Sus scrofa: one gene and its partners. The protein of the gene in region 1 interacts with the protein of each later gene in a pairwise test. Links are inferred from orthologs where the notes say so. Each region holds a gene or a part of one and is shown in the gene's direction. Other genes may lie near its edges.

Region 1 (5,771 bases):
TCCTTAATCCACTGAGTGAGGCCAGAGATGGAACCTGTGTCCTCACGGACACTATGTTAGGTTCTAAACCCACTGAACCACAACGGGAATATCTGTCAGAGGATCTTAACTAACTGTCTTTTTCAATTTTTTTTTTTATTTCAGAATGGCCAGAGTTTTCTGGTTTTGGATGAACAAAGATTTGCAAAAGAAATTCTTCCCAAATACTTCAAGCACAATAATATGGCAAGCTTTGTGAGGCAGCTGAATATGTGTGAGTATGGACAGTGGTTTATTTGGACTATTGTCATCAGCTGCTGATAAAACCGTTTCCCCCACTGGGATGATAAAGGAAAATATATTCCATAGATACACCATTAATTTTTTACTTTTGTATATTTTAGCCACCTGAATTTTGATCTTTTTCAGATGGTTTTCGTAAAGTAGTACATATTGACTCTGGAATTGTGAAGCAGGAACGAGATGGTCCTGTTGAATTTCAGCATCCTTACTTCAAACAAGGCCAGGATGACTTGTTGGAGAACATTAAAAGGAAGGTGAGCTATTGTTTATATGCTTTAATTAGGGCATTACCATATAGTATGCTTGTCCAAGATTAATATTTCAGTTGTTGAAATTAAGAATATACTGAAATACACAGATACTTGTTGTTGGGATGTCTTAAACTAATAAAGCTTTAATTATTTCTGTTTCATTTTTCTCTGCACTCAACTACATGGAGGGCTCAGTCTTTAAACACTTTTAGATAGAAAGAAATGTTTACATTTTGACTTAGAATAAGGAGTCATCTAGATTGGGATGACTCATTCCGTCTAATTTAGCCTAAAAAATGTAAGCTCCTATGAGAAAGTCAGCCGCCTGGAGGGCCTTTTTCTGTAGTTCACTGCTCAATATCCAGTGCCTAAAAGAAATCCCTTATATGTAGTAGACAATTAACAATACATTTTTTTTTCCTTTTTGTCTTTTTGCCTTTTCTAGGGCTGCTCCCATGGCATATGGAGGTTCCCAAGCTAGGGATCTAATCAGAGCTGTAGCTGCCAGCCTACACCACAGCCACAGCAACATGGGATCCAGGCTGCGTCTGTGACCTGCACCAGAGCTCACAGCAATACCGGATCCTTAACCCACTGAGCAAGGCCAGGGATCGAACCCAAAATCTCAAGGTTCTTAGTCGGATTTGTTAACTACTGAGCCATGACAGGAACTCCTAATAATGCATTTTTTGAATGGATGATATGTTTTGCTGAAATAAGTATGTTGACTAAATCCACAGAAGGAAGGGGTAGGGATACAGGGTAGTGGACCATGAAAGAAAATGGCCTATTACCGCATAATTTTAATTAAATATGGAATGTGTTAATAAAAGGCTTGGGGAAATTAGAGGGAATTTTAGCAGAAAGAAATGACAAAAAAAAAAAAAAAAAAAAAAAAAAAAAAGATGTTCCAGCTCATGGAAACTTTCCCACATTAAAAATAAATAAACTGATTATGCCTTATCCTCTCTATGAGCTGTGAAGTCTGTACTTTTCCTGGGCTTTTGGAACTAGATCTCACTTCCTTGAATAGGCTATAAAAACGTCTTATAACAGGGAAGCCTTGAATTATAATGCTAGTATTTAGTATTTGTTTAATTTCCTAAATTTACTTTTTAAAAGGTTTCATCTTCAAAACCAGAAGAAAATAAAATTCGTCAGGAAGATTTAACAAAAATTATAAGTAGTGCTCAGAAGGTTCAAATAAAACAAGAAACTATTGAGTCCAGGCTTTCTGAATTGAAAAGGTAAAGTAGTATTTTCAAATATAATCCTGATATGAGGTTTGGTGTGTCTGTATGTGTGTTTGGATTGGAGGTTGATGCTTTAAGTACTTAGATTATGTTGTTGAGCCAAGATTAAAAGCCATTTTTCTTAAGTGTTGATTCCCTTTACTTTTTTATTTGTAGCTATATATAGACTTTACCGCAATAGTATATTTTTATGATTGTGATTAAAAAAAAGTATAAACCTGGACAGTCAAAACAATTTGCGCAAGTTTTACTGATGAAATAATAGATCACTAATTTGGTGTAGGAAATAGGATTCTGCTTTCATATGTTTACATATGAGGACACACAAGTCATAAAAAATACTGTATATATAACTCGTCCTTATAGCAGTGTAAGATATTTTCTGTGTGGCCTATCTTTTAAGACACAAAAATAGGGAAAAAAGGACACAAGAGACTTGCCCTACTTGATAGTTACATAGACTTGAGAAAATATTACTCAAACCTTTTATCTGCAGAAGATGCTTTATTTTGCTTCAGTACGTTTTTTGGCACCATTATCCTAATGCCACAGTAACAATTCATATATAGAGTAGATGTGTATTTTTATTCTTAGTAAGTAGCTAGAAATTTTCTTTTAGCGTAGTAGGTGCCAAGGTCTTGAGAGTAGTTCTTTTATGTATTGTCCCTTTCATGTCAAATATGGGGCATTAGTTTAGCTATTTTTTTTTTTTTTTTTTTTTTTTTTTGTCTTTTTGCCATTTCTTGGGCTGCTCCTGCGGCATATGGAGGTTCCCAGGCTAGGGGTCCAATCGGAGCTGTAGCCACCAGCCTATGCCAGAGCCACAGCAACGGGGGATCCGAGCCGTGTCTGCAACCTACACCACAGCTCACGGCAACGCCGGATCCTTTAACCCACTGAGCAAGGCCAGGGGTCGAACCCGCAACCTCATGGTTCCTAGTCGGATTCGTTAACCACTGCGCCACGACGGGAACTCCAGTTTAGCTATTCTTAAGTATTTTCATTAAGAGAATAACCTTGGGCTTTGATTCTCTTTTTGAATAAGCCTTAATTTTAAGCTTGCCCCTTTTGCATGTTTTATTTAAGCACTTGTATTGGTTTACTGTATGTATCTTGTGTTTTCTGAAGTGCCTTTTGACCCAATTCCTTGAATTTCAGGTTTAGCCCTTAAGGAATGGGATCCAAAATTCATTCTAAGTCTCAGTGGTAACCATTCTCTTACTTATCTGTAGTAGGCAGGTGACAGTATCTTTACATTTCTGAATCAGAAAAAAGTACAGTAGTTATTCAGTAAGTATTAAAGTCTTATTTTCTGTGCCCTCTATACCTAAATCCAGTCCCTTTTGTAATGGTCTGGACTGAGAAGGTTGGCTTTTGTGGAAATTAATAAAAGAACAAAAATAAAATCATTTAATAGATAAATTATCTTTCATGCCTTCTCAGCTTTATCATTGCTGACATTTAGTAACCGCAATTTCAATAAAAATGGTGAATGAAAGGAGAAAACTTACTACTAGGCACATAGTTTGTTATGTATTTGGATATGCTTAAAAAGCACGCTTTTAATATGCTTTAAAAAATTTATATGCTTATGTTTGAGACAGACAGTTTTAGAGTCTGATAGACTTTAGTTCAACATCAACACTTACCACATTGTGTGATCTTGGGTAAGTCTTTTCAGTTCCCTGAGTCTCAGTCTCCTCAGCTATAAAATAGTTATATAATTCCTTTCTGGACAGATTTAAGAAACATTTAAATGAGTAATATGCATAAAATGCTTATATAAATAGTGTCTGGCATGGCAAGTGTTGGTTAAATGTTACTTCCCTTTAAGAATTGTTTCCTAAGCACAAGTTCTGAATTCACATGATTGAAAGTTAGCTTATTTTTATATTTATTTTTTGCCTTTCTACAGCATATGGAGTTCCTGGTCCGAGCCACATTTGGGACCTCTGCCCCAGGTGTGGCAATGCTGGATCCTTTAGCCCACTGTACCAGGCCAGGGTTCAAACCTGCATCCTGGCCCGTCAGAGATGCCGCCAATTCCATTACGCTACAGCGGGATCTCCAAAAAGTTAGCTTGTTTCTTAAACAAGAAGTGATTAACCACATTGTCAGAGGAGTATATGGCCTATTAAGTGTTTGTATATATACTGCCATGAGTAGAAGATACTATAGTTATAAAGGAAAGATTCTGGAGTTGTGTCAAAATAGGTGTCATTCTGTGTAATTGAACCACAGTTTTCCTAGTCTCATGAAGATAGGTAGTAAAAACTAGTTCTGTTTTATGGTATTCTTAAAAATGTTGAGGCCTGGTTTTTCTGACTAAATTTATTAATTTTTATTTTTAATAAATGATAACATAGTGAGAATGAGTCCCTTTGGAAGGAGGTGTCAGAATTAAGAGCAAAACATGCACAACAACAGCAAGTTATTCGAAAGGTAAGCTTTTTTTTCCTGTGACCATAATCTGCGTTTATTTGAGTACTATTTGTGACCTTCGAGAAACCTCTATTAAATAGTGATTGATCTTAGTTTTTTTAATATATTGGGTACACAGAAGTAAACCTATGAAATCAAACAAGCCAATGTTATATATTTTTTAATTAAAAAATTTCTCATTAGCTAAATACAGTCATTGCATACTTGCAACTAATGTTTCATTAGCTTTTAGTAAAATCTTTTTCCTGATATAACAACTTTAGTATACTTCATTCTTAGGAGCATAATTAATATACTACCAATTTCTTAACACATTTTATATAAAAGACATAGCCTTACTATGTAGGATGTTTTTGTTTTTTGTTTTACTTTAAAAGGTATAGATTCAGTCTCAGATAAATGACTAATATTTTCAAGTTAACTGATCAAATTATATGCTCAGAAGAGTTACTAGTGTGTGCTGTCATTAGTCTGTGCAGAAAAGCAGTGAATGCAGTGTTATAAAATGTATCTGAGCTGAAAATTACTAGGGGAACCAAAAAAAACTCTCGGCCACATAGTGTCCTTGTACTTTAATCTTCTCATATCAGCTTTCATATGTTAATAAGAGGTGAAACATAAAAGTAATTAAGGCAGCTATTTTTTGCTCATGAGTAAACTGGACTCTTAAGTTTAAGCAACAGGTTTTTTTTGGGGGAGGGAGGGTGGGCGAGCTTCAGTTTGTTCCTAACCCAGAGGCCTTTAGCTAAAAATAGGGTTATGACTGAAAAGATGTGGGTCTGATGGAGCAGGCTTAGAATACAGAGATGAATGGTAGTTGCAGCCTTTCCCCTATAATTAATATAGGTATACTGATTTTTAAAAATCACTATGAAAATGGAGGTTGAATGTAGGTAGCATTCAGTTCTAGGTGTTTAGTCCAAGTTTTATGTATTTTCAGAACTTCCATAGTTGATTCCAACTTGAAGCTATGTTTAAGAATACCCGACTTAGGAGTTCCCATGTGACTCAGTGGGTTAATCATCTGGCATTATCACTGCAGTGGCTCAGATTGCTGCTTTGGTGCGGGTTCAATCCCTGGCTGCCATGAGCACAGCCCCCCCAAAAAAGTATACCTGATTTAAAATGATAAGTGTACCTTAACCTGTATTTTATTTTAAAAATTTGCTTCCCCCTGCCCTGGAAAACAGTGTTCGGGTTAAATATTAACTCACAGTACTCCATAATTTGAAGTGGTTTTTTTTTTTTTTTTTTTCCTGAAAGCAGTAGTAGTTAGTAAAATATTTATTTAACATTTCAGTTTTACATGAAAGCTAACATTCTTTCTGCTCAAATTTGAGTTTGCATCTATATTTTAGTGAGGTTAGGGTGTTTACATAATGCATGATGACAGCTGATAAATTTTTTCTCTATTCCTGGAATTTGTTTCTAACTCTTCCACTTTTTGGCCTTGGAATAATAATATATGGGAGGTATCTTTATAGGATTTGTTAGGTACAGAGCTGATAAGATAGATAGATATATGGGTAGATGGATGTCCTAG
Region 2 (5,771 bases), on another chromosome or scaffold:
AAACGCCTTGAAAACTGAGTCAAGAAAGAGATATGGGTGCAGGGAGAGTCCCCCAAGTCAGGGCACCGAGGCTGGGATCATGGCATCTACACCATGGTCAGGCTCGAGGCTGTACTGCAGCAGGGCTGGACCTGGGGCCCCAGCCCAGGAGGAAGGCCTGGAGGAGGGCAGGGAAGGAAAGAAGAAAGCAGGAAACAGGCATGATGGGGCTGGGAGGGTGGAGACGCAGTGCGACGTGGCAGGGAGGTGAAAGTGCACACCTGTGTACAGGTGGGTATTTGGACAGGAGTCTACAGCATGGGGAGAGGAATGGAAAGACCTAGACCTCCATGTCAGGGCGCCCTGCCGCGGGAGGGCGAGGGGGAAGGGTCAAATAAAAAGATACAAAAGCTTATAAGAAATGACCTCATTTATGTAAAAAGTACGTGTTAATGTCTTGATGCAAACAGATGAAAGGAAAAGAAAGCTCCGTTAATTGAGTTCTTAGGGACGCCCGCGGGAGGTGGTCCAGTGAAAAATGAAGTTGGGCGGTTGGGATGGAGATGGACGGGAGCATGGAGGGAGCTGCAAGGTATTGGCGATTTTTCCAGCACTTTGTTTTTCTCGTGCCTTGTGTTCTTTTGTTTTATAACATGTTATAAAACAAATGTACACGGATGTGGAGCATGCATACACCTGCGCAGGTGTAGTCTGTGTACCGATGTACCCAGAACATGAGGATACACACATGTTCCTTTGAATGTGTGAAAGAGCATGTGAAGCAGTGACGAGGGGAAGAGGAGTGGCTTCCCTGTAACCTATTTTAGTAGAAACCTCACAGCAGCCTCCCATGTGATGTGTGCGCACGTGCGTATGCTCATGAGAAGCAGAGGGAGCTGCAGACGGCAGCTGCTCACTTTGAATCCCCTTTGGGGGACCTGGGGACGAGGCAGAAGCTTATTACTCTTAAATTCTCCCGTCCCCAGGGCCTAATAAATGCATTCACAGTAGTGGCTAAAACATTGTTAGCCTTGAGTGGTTTACTGATGATCTGTGAGTCTCCTTTGGTAGAAATTTAATTACTCTATGAGAATTTAAGCTCGATGAAGGCAGAAATAATATTGATCTTCATCATTTGGTTAATCATGTATTCATTCATTCATGCTATGAATATATGTCAAGTGCCATGTGTATGATATGATACATATTATGTAACATATATGATATAATGTGATACATGATATATAATATATAATATATCATGTATGATACATGGTATGATATAACATTATATGATTGTATATAATATATATTAATGTATATTAATTCTCAATATTAACAATATTTTCTTCAGTGCCTAGCATATTTCAAGGATTTTTTTAAAGTTAAAATGGAGGGTGTTATGGAAGTTCACATAGAAAGACCTAATCTAGTGGATCAGGCAGGCTTCCTGGAGGAAGTGGCATTTATGCTGCAAACTGCAAATGACAGGGAGCTCTATGGACAAGGTTGGGGGAAGATTCCACATTTCACGCGGGTGGGAGAGTGTGTGCAAAGGCCCTGAAGCAGGGGGAAGGAACACGAGGGATGAGGACAGTGCGGCTGCAGCCGAGGGCGGAAGAGGACCAGAGGGGATGAAGCCAGAAAGGCCTGTACGGGACGGATCCTGCAGGCCCCACAGGCAGGACCAGAATGTTCTCCACCTTCTTATTTTGAAGGAAGTGGCAGGTGTATTTGAAAGGACTGCCTAGGTTTTCAAATGGCAAACGTTTTCCCAAGGTTGTGTGCACTGTCTCTTTCACGCACACGTTTTTCTCTTTGCCCAACCATTTGAGAGTAAGTGACAGACAACCTGTCCTGCAAAAAGCATGTCATGTTTCATGTCAGGTGCCTTCTGGGAACACAGACTTAGCTGCGGTGGCATCACGATGCTGCTGCTGCACACCCAGCAAAGTGAACACTGATCAATACCTTTACTCTGTACGTAGTCTCCACTGAGATCTCAAATCGGCCCCGTGACCTTTGCTAACGTTTTAAAAAGCCAGGATCCAGTCAAGGATCGTGCGTTGCGTCTAGATGTCCCCTGGCCTTTTGGGGGAGGCAACTTTAGCCCAGCTGTTTTGTAGACTGCCCATCGATTTAAATGTGCCTGGAGGAGTTCCCGTTGTGCCTCAGCAGAAACGAATCTCATTGGCGTCCGTGAATCTGACTGGCATCCACGAGGACGCAGCTTCCATCCCTGGCCTCACTCAGTGGGTTGAGGATCGGTGTTGCCATGAGCTGTGACGTAGGTCACAGACCTGGCTTGGATCTGGTGTAGCTGTGGCTCTGGTGTAGTAGCTATGGCTCCGATTCAGCCCCTAGCCTGGGAAATTCCATATGCCTTGGGTGCAGCCCTAAAAAAAAATAAAAAATAAAAAGGCACCCCCCCACACACATGTGCCTGATTATTTCCTCATGGTTAACAGGTTGCATGTTTATAGCGAGGCTACTCCCCCAGGGGATGGAGCACTGAGAGCCACCTGGCCTCTGGAGCACGTGGTACCCGTTTCCGTATTGATGTCGGATTTGATCACGAGGTACGGTGCTGTCCACGGGCTTTCTCCACTGTACGGCTGAAACGCTCCTTTGTAAGAAATTCAGTAATCTGGAGGGTGGTGCCTTAGGCTTCTGTAAATATCCTGTTCCCCTGCAATTCTGCACTCAGTGATTTTAGCCACCATCGGCCCCTCCCCCACAATAGTTATTACTCCGGGGATGTTTCTAAGCACCTAATTTTTCGCATGTCAGTTTGTACTCTTCCGTGAAGAAGAGCCTTCCTGTCTCCTCTCCTCTTTTTAATCAGTATCATGGTGAGCTTGTGGGTGTTTAAAATTTGAACTTAATTCATATGTATTTATCATCCATTTCTAAGATTAATCTTTTTTTTTTTTTTTTTTTTTTTTTTTTTTAAGAGCCATACCCGCGGCTTATGGAAGTTCCCAGGCTAGGGGTTCTCATCAGAGCTACTGCTGCCAGCCTGCACCACAGCCACAGCAATGCAGGATTCGAGCCGCATCTGTGACCTACACCACAGCTCACAGCAACACCAGATCTTTAACCCGCGGAGTGAGGCTAGGGATCGAACTCGCATCCTCACGGATGTTAGGCAGGTTTGTTTCTGCTGCGCCACAGTGGGAACTCCTAACATCGATCCTTTTGACGTTACAGTTTCCCATATTTGGCCAGCAGGAGCCCCTGTGGGGAAGGTTTTTGAGAAATCTGATCTGGCTCCAGTGGCTTAAGTAATAGTAGGAAAGTGGTGACTCGGTCTGTGCTTCCCAGGCCTTTTTCTCCCGAGAGTCTCTGTGGATCGAATGTGCTTTTCTTTTTCTTTCTCTCTAGGTCTCATGGGCTAATTGGCTCTCATTGAGCTGGAACCCAACAGAGACATCACCTTGCTGTGGGTCAAGACAATGCTGGATTTTAAAACCGCTCTGAAAATGATCAAGGCGGGATCGCCCAGTGACCTTCTCAGGGGGCAGCCAGCAGCTTGAGAATTTCCCGTTCACCGGGGAGCAGCTGGAAGGAAGCCCCTCTCCGCGAAGGGCGCCTGCATGGCAGGCGGCCCCCACCCAAGGATTCACAATGAGCGTCCCAGCGCCTCCTAAGAAGTCGTGTTATACCGAGTTGCGGGACAGCAGCAATGGGGTGAAAAACAATAACGAGAGCGTCCTAAGCCTGGGCGATACCAACGCCAACCCCATCATGTTGGAGGTCGGCTCCTCTCCTGCTGACGGCGAGATTGGAAATGCAAACTCGAGGGGGCCAGAAAACAGCAGCCGCGTCCACAAGGACTTCCACCCACTTCCGGCCTTTGGGAAGGCCCCCCAGGGCGGCCCCGCCAGCCTGAAGGATTTTAAATTTTCTCTGACAGTTCCAAGAGCACTGAGTGAAGAGCCCGTGCTGGAGAGGGGCGCAGAGCCCCCGCAGGGCCCTCGGGGCCTGCAGGGACCAGGTCTGCTGAGCTGGAGGACCGCTGCGGGCGAGGCCGGGCCAGAGGCTTTGGCTAAAAGGGAGGTGGAGACTCCCCGGCCTGTTCCCAAGGATAAGCTGGCCAAGACCCTGGACAACGAGGAGTTGAGGAGGCATTCTTTGGAGAGAGCCGGCAGCGCCTCTGTGGCCCTGGACGTGCTCACAAAGGAGCGGGCTGGGGGCCTGGCCTGGCCTCTTCCGCAGCCTGCGGTGCCCGGAGATGGAGAGGGGCCGCAGAAGACGGGGATGGCCCCTCCTGCAAGGCCGGCATGTCCCCCAGCCGACAGCACCTCAGAGGGAGAGAGCGTGTGTCATCCTAAACCATCTACCTCAGAAGCCAAGGAGATGCCGCCCGCCCTGGGATGGGTCCCCCAAGTAAGCGCCCAGGGCACGGTGCCTTCTGCCCACCCAGAGGGCACTCCCGATTCCACTCCAGCATCCAGGGGTGTCTTGAGGCAGCCAGAAGCACAACCAGGTCAGGGCAAGGCAGAGCCTACAACGGAGCCGAAGCTCGTCCAGCCCAGGCCCGGGCAGGAGCTCAGGTACGCCCAGGTGGACGGCCCGGAATGTGCTAAGGAGGATGTGGTGTCACCTCTCGGGAGAAGGGAGCCGGCTGGGGAAGCACAGCAAGAAGCCTCCGGCGCTGCGTTCAGCGGCCTGGCCCACAGCGGTCCCCACCCACTGGGCGTGGGAAGAGGCAGGAGGGAGCAGGAAAAGAGAAACGAGGAGGGGTCTCTTCAGGGCACCCCCACACAGAGCCCTGCTTCCTTGGGGGCTGCTGATCATCAGCCCATAGGTCGAATTTCCCCAAGCGCAGCCAGCAGACTGGGTGACACTGTGGCATCCAGCCGCGTTTCAGCAGGTGATGGTCACGTGGCTTTGACTCCTGATGATTCGAGGGACAGCAGGCCCTTGGATCCCAGGGCGGAGAATGGGGTCCTGGGCCCTGGGAACGAGAACAGCCCTGGAGTTTTTAATTCAGACCCTTCCACTGGAGGGAGCAAAGTTGGGGTCCCTGAGCCCCTTCCCGGCAGCACCTCAGAAGCCAGCGAAGGCACAGAGATCCCTGCGTGCCCTGTCGAGACTAGGGACCGTCTAGAAAATGCTAAGACTGAAAGCACCCCAGCGAGAACAGAACCCCTTCTCAGGGTCCCAGTGCCCCTCCACCCAGAGACAACTGTGACTGTGTCCCGCCAGCCTCCACCCCCCAGCAGCCGCGCTCAGGACCCGGGCGCCTGGAGTGTGGACGCGGGGTCCTCCCCGGCTGCCCCGCCCCCCGCCGACAGCGCGAGGTTGTCACTCGCTGCCCCGAAAGTGCCTGACAAGGGCGCCTGCCCCACCGGGATCCCCAAGCCTGTGGCCGCCTCGCAGGAGGGGCTGGAGGGCCCCCAGCCGGAGAAGCCGGAGGAGAGGGCGGACCCCAAGGCCGTGATCGTGCCCAAGCCCAAGCCCGTGAGGCCCAAGATCATCACGTACATCAGGAGGGGCCCCCAGGCCCTGGGCCAGGTGGACGCGTCGCTGGTCCCCGTGGGCCTTCCTTACGCTCCGCCCGCGTGTGCCGTGCCGCTCCCCAAAGAGGAGAAGGGGGCGGGCGGGGACCTGAAGCCGGCGGCCGGCCTCTACGAGAAGTTCAAGCCGGACTTGCAGAGGCCCCGGGTGTTCAGCTCCGGGCTGGTGGTGTCTGGGATCAAGCCCCCGGGACACCCCTTCGGTCAAATGAGTGAAAAGTTTCTGCAGGAGGTAAGAGAAGGTCGCTGTGGCCCGGTCTGTGAGTCGCA
Region 3 (5,660 bases), about 230 Mb from region 1:
GGGTCCAGGTGTGGGCAGGGCTGGCTTCTCTTGCAGCCCCTCCTTCTCTGAGTGTCCTTACACTGCTGGCCTCTGCGTGTGCCCCGCTGGGCCGCGTGTCCTCCTCCTGTAGGGACGGCAGTCACCTGGCCTCTGGTCACCCTGACTGCCTCGTTGACGCCTCCTTCTTGGAGGCCTGTCTCCAGGTGGCCCTGCGTCTGAGGTGCTGGGTTAGGGCTTCAGCGTGAGAATTCCGGGAGGGACCGTTGAGACTAGACCTTGGCCTCTGCCGTTTTCCTGCTTCTTCTGACGTGCAGTCCTCCTCTGACTGTGACATCGCCCTCATCTGTCACCACGCCCATCCCATCCCCAGAAGCAGGGTGTAGCCACGTGCGCCCAGCGGGGCAGCGTCCCTGTGCAGCCCTGCTTGGCCCAGGCTGTTGGGTTACCTGGCAAAGCCCCTGTGCAACCCCACAGCCAGGCAGGATGCTGAGGCCTGGAGATGTGGAGTCCTGGCTGGGAGGTGGGGACGGCAGGGAGTGGTTCCTGGCCCCACTTCTAACCTCAGGTCCAGGGAATTGGGCGCCTGGGGCTTGGCAGGACAGCCCTGTGTTGCCTTGCTGGCAGTGCTCACCCTGACCTCTGGGCACCGCCTCCCTCATCCATCCTGAGTGGCCCCTGTGGCCCAGGGGTGGCCCTCATGTGTCTTCTCATGTGCCTTTGCGGTGTCTGGGACCCGTCAGGTGCTCCTGGTGCCCCGAGGTGGTAATGCGGTGCCTGCCCAGTGCCCCGGTGCTGGGGACACAGCCCCGCCGGCTCCCGCTGCCCGGTGCCACCCCGGCTGCCCTCCTATTCAGGCAGATGGGGGGCGGGGGCGTCCTGCAGCCAGAGCACTTTCTGAATGTGCCGCCTCTTTTCCAGCTGCATCCTCAGGGCCCGGGGTGCACCCTGGACCCCAAGGGTCAGAACCAGGGTGTGGGTGTAACAGCAAAGGGTGACTTCTAGGGCGACTTCATGCCTCTTCTACTCTGACCACGGAGCTGGCAGGTGCCTGAGAGGGTTCACCCGGGCTGCCGCCTTCCCAGTGGGCTGCGATTTGCAAGCTCCCTCCTGGGGGTTGATCCCGGGGCCTCTCCTGTACCCTGTGGAAGAGGCCTGGCTACCCGAGAGCCCCTGGCCACCAGGCCTTTGCACCCGAAGCCCTGTGTCATGGGGTCACTGGGAGCCTGGCTCACGCTGGCACGAACAGTGGGTGAGGGAGGGTGGCCGGCTCTCGGGGATCCCCCTGTTGGCACAGGTGGCAGTGGCTGCACTGGGCGACACGTGGTAGGGGAGCGCCACCCCACCCGAGAGCCAGTGCCCGGCGTGGCAGCTGTCTCTGTGCTCCATGCAGATGACGACAACCCGCCCGTGTCCTTCGTGAAGTTCTCTCCGAACGGCAAGTACATCCTGGCCGCGACCTTGGACAAGTAAGCCCTCTGTCCCCGTGCGGGCGGGTTACCAGGGCCATCGCCCCAGGGCCAGGATCCCAGAAAGACACCCGCTCCAGTGCCCGCACGGAGCCTGCTGGGTGCAGGCTGCTGATGTAGGCACCCTGCTGGGATGGTGGGCATGGCGGCCTCCCGGTGCTGCCCGCTCTGCCCGGGCGCCCTGCTCCTAACACGCTTCGGGTGGGTGTCCCGGCCGTCCACTGCCCTCCTGGAGGCGGCTGGCGCTCGGCCTCCCCGGGCACTGTGGGAGCCCTCGGGTGGGCTCACAGGGTCGGCCCCCACAGGAGGAGGAAGGACTGTCCGCCGAGGTCTGTTCTGGACGTGTCCGCAATGGGGCTTCCTGAGCCCTTTTCTCGCAGGGACGTGGACCCCTTCCCGGCTCGGGGAACGCTTAGTAGCTTCCTTTAACCAAGCCTCTTGGGGAGTTAACGTGTGGCTCGACAGGTTAAGGACTTGGCACTGCAGTAGCTCAGGTTCGATCCCTGGCCCAGGAATTTGCACACGCCTCGGCCGAGGCCAAGTGAAAAACAGTGTCTTGGGGTTCCCGCGCTCTGCTCCCAGGTGTCCTTGCTCTGTGGACCCTGGGCTGGGCGCGGGCACCGGAGAGGGTGGGTCCTCGGGGGCTCGGCTGACACGCCCTCTCCCCGCAGCACGCTGAAGCTCTGGGACTACAGCAAAGGGAAGGTGAGCGCCGGGACGGGCTGGCGGAGGGTCGTGCTGGGGCTGGGGCCGGGGCCACGGCTGGGCCGGGGTGGGTTGTGCTCAGAGCGGCTCCGTTGGCTGAAAGGTACCTGGATGGGTTACCCCGGGGTGCAGGGGGGCGCCACTGAGCGGACGGGCCCTGCTGTTTCAGTGTCTGAAGACGTACACCGGCCACAAGAATGAGAAGTACTGCATATTCGCGAATTTCTCTGTCACTGGCGGGAAGGTGAGTCATGTCCCTGCTGGGGGTTCTCCCCGGCCCCTCTGGGGCGCTTTTTAACCCAGTGCAGCCCCGCTGGTGGCATCCTCAGCGGGCCTTCCCATTGCGTCCTCTTCAGGGCCACAGGCTCCTTTGCGATGCCGAGGGTGTCAGCACCTTCTGGGAGTCAGGGACCCTGGCAGGCTCTGGCGTCTGGTCCCCGGGGCTCCCCGCCTCTCAGGCTCAGGCTGCGGGGGAGATGGTGACGGCAGCCCTGATTGGAGCAAACAGTTTATGTCCTAGAAGTGGCGGGTGCTGGTGCGGCATCGGGACAGGAGATGGGCGGAGACCCACACGGGGAGGGGTGCTGGTACTGCTGGTCCCCAGGCACGCGCCTGACACCCTCCCGCCCCGTGACAGTGGATCGTGTCGGGCTCGGAGGACAACTTGGTTTACATCTGGAACCTGCAGACGAAAGAGATTGTGCAGAAGCTGCAGGGCCACACGGGTGAGCTCTCCCCCACGGAGGGACCAGGTCCTGTGAGCATCCTCCTGCCTCTGCTCCTCGGCCCCCTGGGAGCCGGGGGCTCTGTTTGGAGCTGTGGGTCTGAGCGCCCGCAGGCCGAGCCCGAGTGTGGCTTTAACCTCTCCTCCGGCCCTTGACGTCCTTGTGGGCCCTGTGGTCTGTCCCCGTGGAGATGGTACAGGGACCCGGGCTGCCTGCCGTCTGCTCTGCCGGCTGGCTCCTTTCCAGGCTCTGACCTCCTGCCCGCTCCTGTCCCCTGTGTGGAGTACCTGGGCAGCCCCTAAGCCCCCCCCCCCGCCCTCCCCACTCCTGCTCAGTGCAGAGTGGTGTCCAGCCGTGGAGAGTCTGATGAGAGTGTGCGACTCTGCCTAAGGAAGCCACGCCACTGCCTGAGGTCCTGGCCTGAGCTTGGAGGTCCGTGCTGGCCTTCAGCTTCCGCACCTGGCCTGTTGCTTCTGCCCTGCTGTGGGCAGGATGCTCAGGCTTATTTGAAACCACTCAGGCAAGAGGGAAGATTCTGGGGTTCAGTTGTCTTTTTAGGGCCGCACCTGCGGCATATGGCGTTCCCAGGGTAGGGGCTGAATCAGAGCTGCAGCTGCTGGCCTCCTCCACAGCCACAGCAATGCCAGGGATCAAACCTGCGCCCTCATGGATACCAGTCAAATTTCTTTCCGCTGAGCCATGATGGGAGCTCCCAAGGGGCTGAGTTAATTTCAGAGCTGCAAAGTGTTAACCTGACGGACCCCAGGCGCCAGCCCCGGGGGTGAACTTGCAGCGCAGCCCTGCGGGCGTCCTCTGCTCCGCGGCGGGGAGCGCGTGGGTGCGCCGGTTTGGGTCCCGGTGCAGAGGGCGCGATGTCGATGCCGTGAGACGGACCCCGGCTGTGCCTCTGGCTTGTGAGGGGCCCCAGTCTCTGGGCTCGGCGCTGGGCAGCCTCCGGGCCCAGGCCGGTGCTGAGCACCTCGCGGCCCACTGTCCAGGCCTGGTGACCTGAGCTCTGGGCTCGGACGCCCTGGGGCGGGGCAGGGCTGCGGGGCGGGGCCACGGGGCGGGGCCGCGGAGGGACCGTGGTGCCTCTGCTTTCAGACGTGGTCATCTCGACGGCCTGCCACCCCACAGAGAACATCATCGCCTCGGCCGCGCTGGAGAACGACAAGACCATCAAGCTCTGGAAGAGCGACTGCTAGGCCCGCGGGCGCGGGGCTGTCGGGACGCCCAGCCGGGCTGGCGAGAGCTCGGTGCTCGAGGGGCTCCCTGGTCCAGGCCTGGGGACTGGAGGCGCCTGGGCCTGCGCCGCCTCCGAGGACGGCTTGGCCGAGGGCCGTGTCCTCCGCAGAGGTTCTCGGAGCTGCCGGTGGCGATTCTTGCCAATGCCTGTCTTGTTGGCTGGGGAAGAGTTAGAGTCTGTATTGTGTTCGGAGGCCACAGAAATTTCTAATTTTTTATTACAAAAGGTGAAGTTCAATTTATCACGAGTTGTGTTTTTTTCCAGTAACTGTTCTGTGCATTTTATCACCCAGTGCAAGTGCTGGACCAGTCGCCACCACGGTGTGTGGGCGCCAGCCTCGCCCACCCGGCCTCAGAGGGGCCCCCTCGTGGGTCCAGTGACCTCTCTGGGGACCCCCACCCGGTGTTGGTCCTGCCCGCGCTCGAAAGCAGCGTGTCTGCAGCGTGTCTGCCCACGTGCCTTTGGCATCGGGGCCGTTGTCCCCGTGCTGCCAGCGTGGGGGTCACCCTGGGCGCTTCTGTTTGTCCCTCTGGTGGTCACACGCAGGCAGCGCCCCAGCGGTGATAAAGGTGGCAGCCTGGGCGAGTGGCCGCCGGGTTCTCACACAGAGCTTTGCTCGCTCTTTTGTGGAAAGCCTCGCGGTCGGCAGGAGGTTGAGAGGACGCCTCTCAAAAGACAGGTCCGAGGGATGCGCCACTCCTTGTCCACGCGGGCTCGAGGGCCCCTGCAGGCTGGTGGCCTGTGGATGTGGGGGCGCAGGACGGAGGGGGCCCCGTGGCCGCTGTGGGTGCGGGTGAGGGTGGAGGAGGCTGTGACCTGAGGGCGCAGTGGTGTCCACGCCTGCCGCCCACGCCAGGACGGGCTCCCCGCGGGGGCCTGGCGTCAGCCACCCACACAGTGGGCGCTGCCCCTAGCAGAGGGAGCGAGGGCGCTGGAGGCTTCTGGACGGACGGCAGAGCAGGGCCGTGGGGGACCCCTCTCTGCAGTGAGGCCACCCCGTAGTCCCAGGCCCACCTGCGGCTCCAAGACCGTAGCGGTGGAGGCTGCTTCGTAAGGAGCATCCCCTGCCTGTGGCCGGGAGTCTGGCCCGTGCTCAGGCTCGGGGCTCATCTCCCCTGGGGCCACTCCTGGGGCCCGAGTGCCTGGGTCCTGGCTCCATCGCGCTGAGTGACAGTGTGCAGGTGGGGGCGTGAGGGCTGCTGTCACACAGAACATGGGGAAACAAGCCACTTCCCGCCCTGCCCTTCAGAAGTAGGCGGACAGCGGGCTGGCTCTAGGGACGAATAGCTCGGGTGAAAGGACACTGCATTCCCCGGGCGACAGCCTGGGAGGCGCTGAGCTCCCGCGGCCGTGGTGTGGCCTCAGATTTCCTTTGGTTCTGTTGGTTCTGGCGTTGGGCGCAGCCCGGGAGGAGGGCGTATGTGCAGGGCCCTGTGTCCTGGAATATAGTTTATTTTTTCTACATTTGAATTCTCTGTTGTAGATTTATGTAAAAATACATTCTCTTTTTGAAAATAAAGAGCTTCCTGTCTTGTA

What was found. The genes of interacting proteins can lie anywhere in the genome.
Region 2: the proteins of HSF2 (region 1) and MTUS2 interact in binary tests that used the Homo sapiens proteins (3 or more experiments, as listed by UniProt). The two-hybrid records come from large-scale screens. The link is inferred for Sus scrofa from reciprocal best matches to the Homo sapiens genes HSF2 and MTUS2.
Region 3: the proteins of HSF2 (region 1) and WDR5 interact in binary tests that used the Homo sapiens proteins (3 or more experiments, as listed by UniProt). The two-hybrid records come from large-scale screens. The link is inferred for Sus scrofa from reciprocal best matches to the Homo sapiens genes HSF2 and WDR5.

Annotation. Positions count from the first base shown.
Region 1 is NC_010443.5:40,162,606-40,168,376, reverse strand, and holds part of HSF2 (heat shock factor protein 2), read left to right. Parts: intron 1-144; coding exon 145-253; intron 254-408; coding exon 409-536; intron 537-1,655; coding exon 1,656-1,780; intron 1,781-4,152; coding exon 4,153-4,228; intron 4,229-5,771. UniProt on the Homo sapiens protein: DNA-binding protein that specifically binds heat shock promoter elements (HSE) and activates transcription. In higher eukaryotes, HSF is unable to bind to the HSE unless the cells are heat shocked.
Region 2 is NC_010453.5:6,194,333-6,200,103, forward strand, and holds part of MTUS2 (microtubule-associated tumor suppressor candidate 2), read left to right. Parts: intron 1-3,363; 5' UTR 3,364-3,606; coding exon 3,607-5,733; intron 5,734-5,771. UniProt on the Homo sapiens protein: Binds microtubules. Together with MAPRE1 may target the microtubule depolymerase KIF2C to the plus-end of microtubules. May regulate the dynamics of microtubules at their growing distal tip.
Region 3 is NC_010443.5:273,572,185-273,577,844, forward strand, and holds the end of WDR5 (WD repeat-containing protein 5), read left to right. Parts: exon of another isoform or gene 1-1,372; coding exon 1,373-1,448; exon of another isoform or gene 1,449-2,119; coding exon 2,120-2,153; intron 2,154-2,322; coding exon 2,323-2,397; exon of another isoform or gene 2,398-2,790; coding exon 2,791-2,878; intron 2,879-3,982; coding exon 3,983-4,083; 3' UTR 4,084-4,371; downstream 4,372-5,660.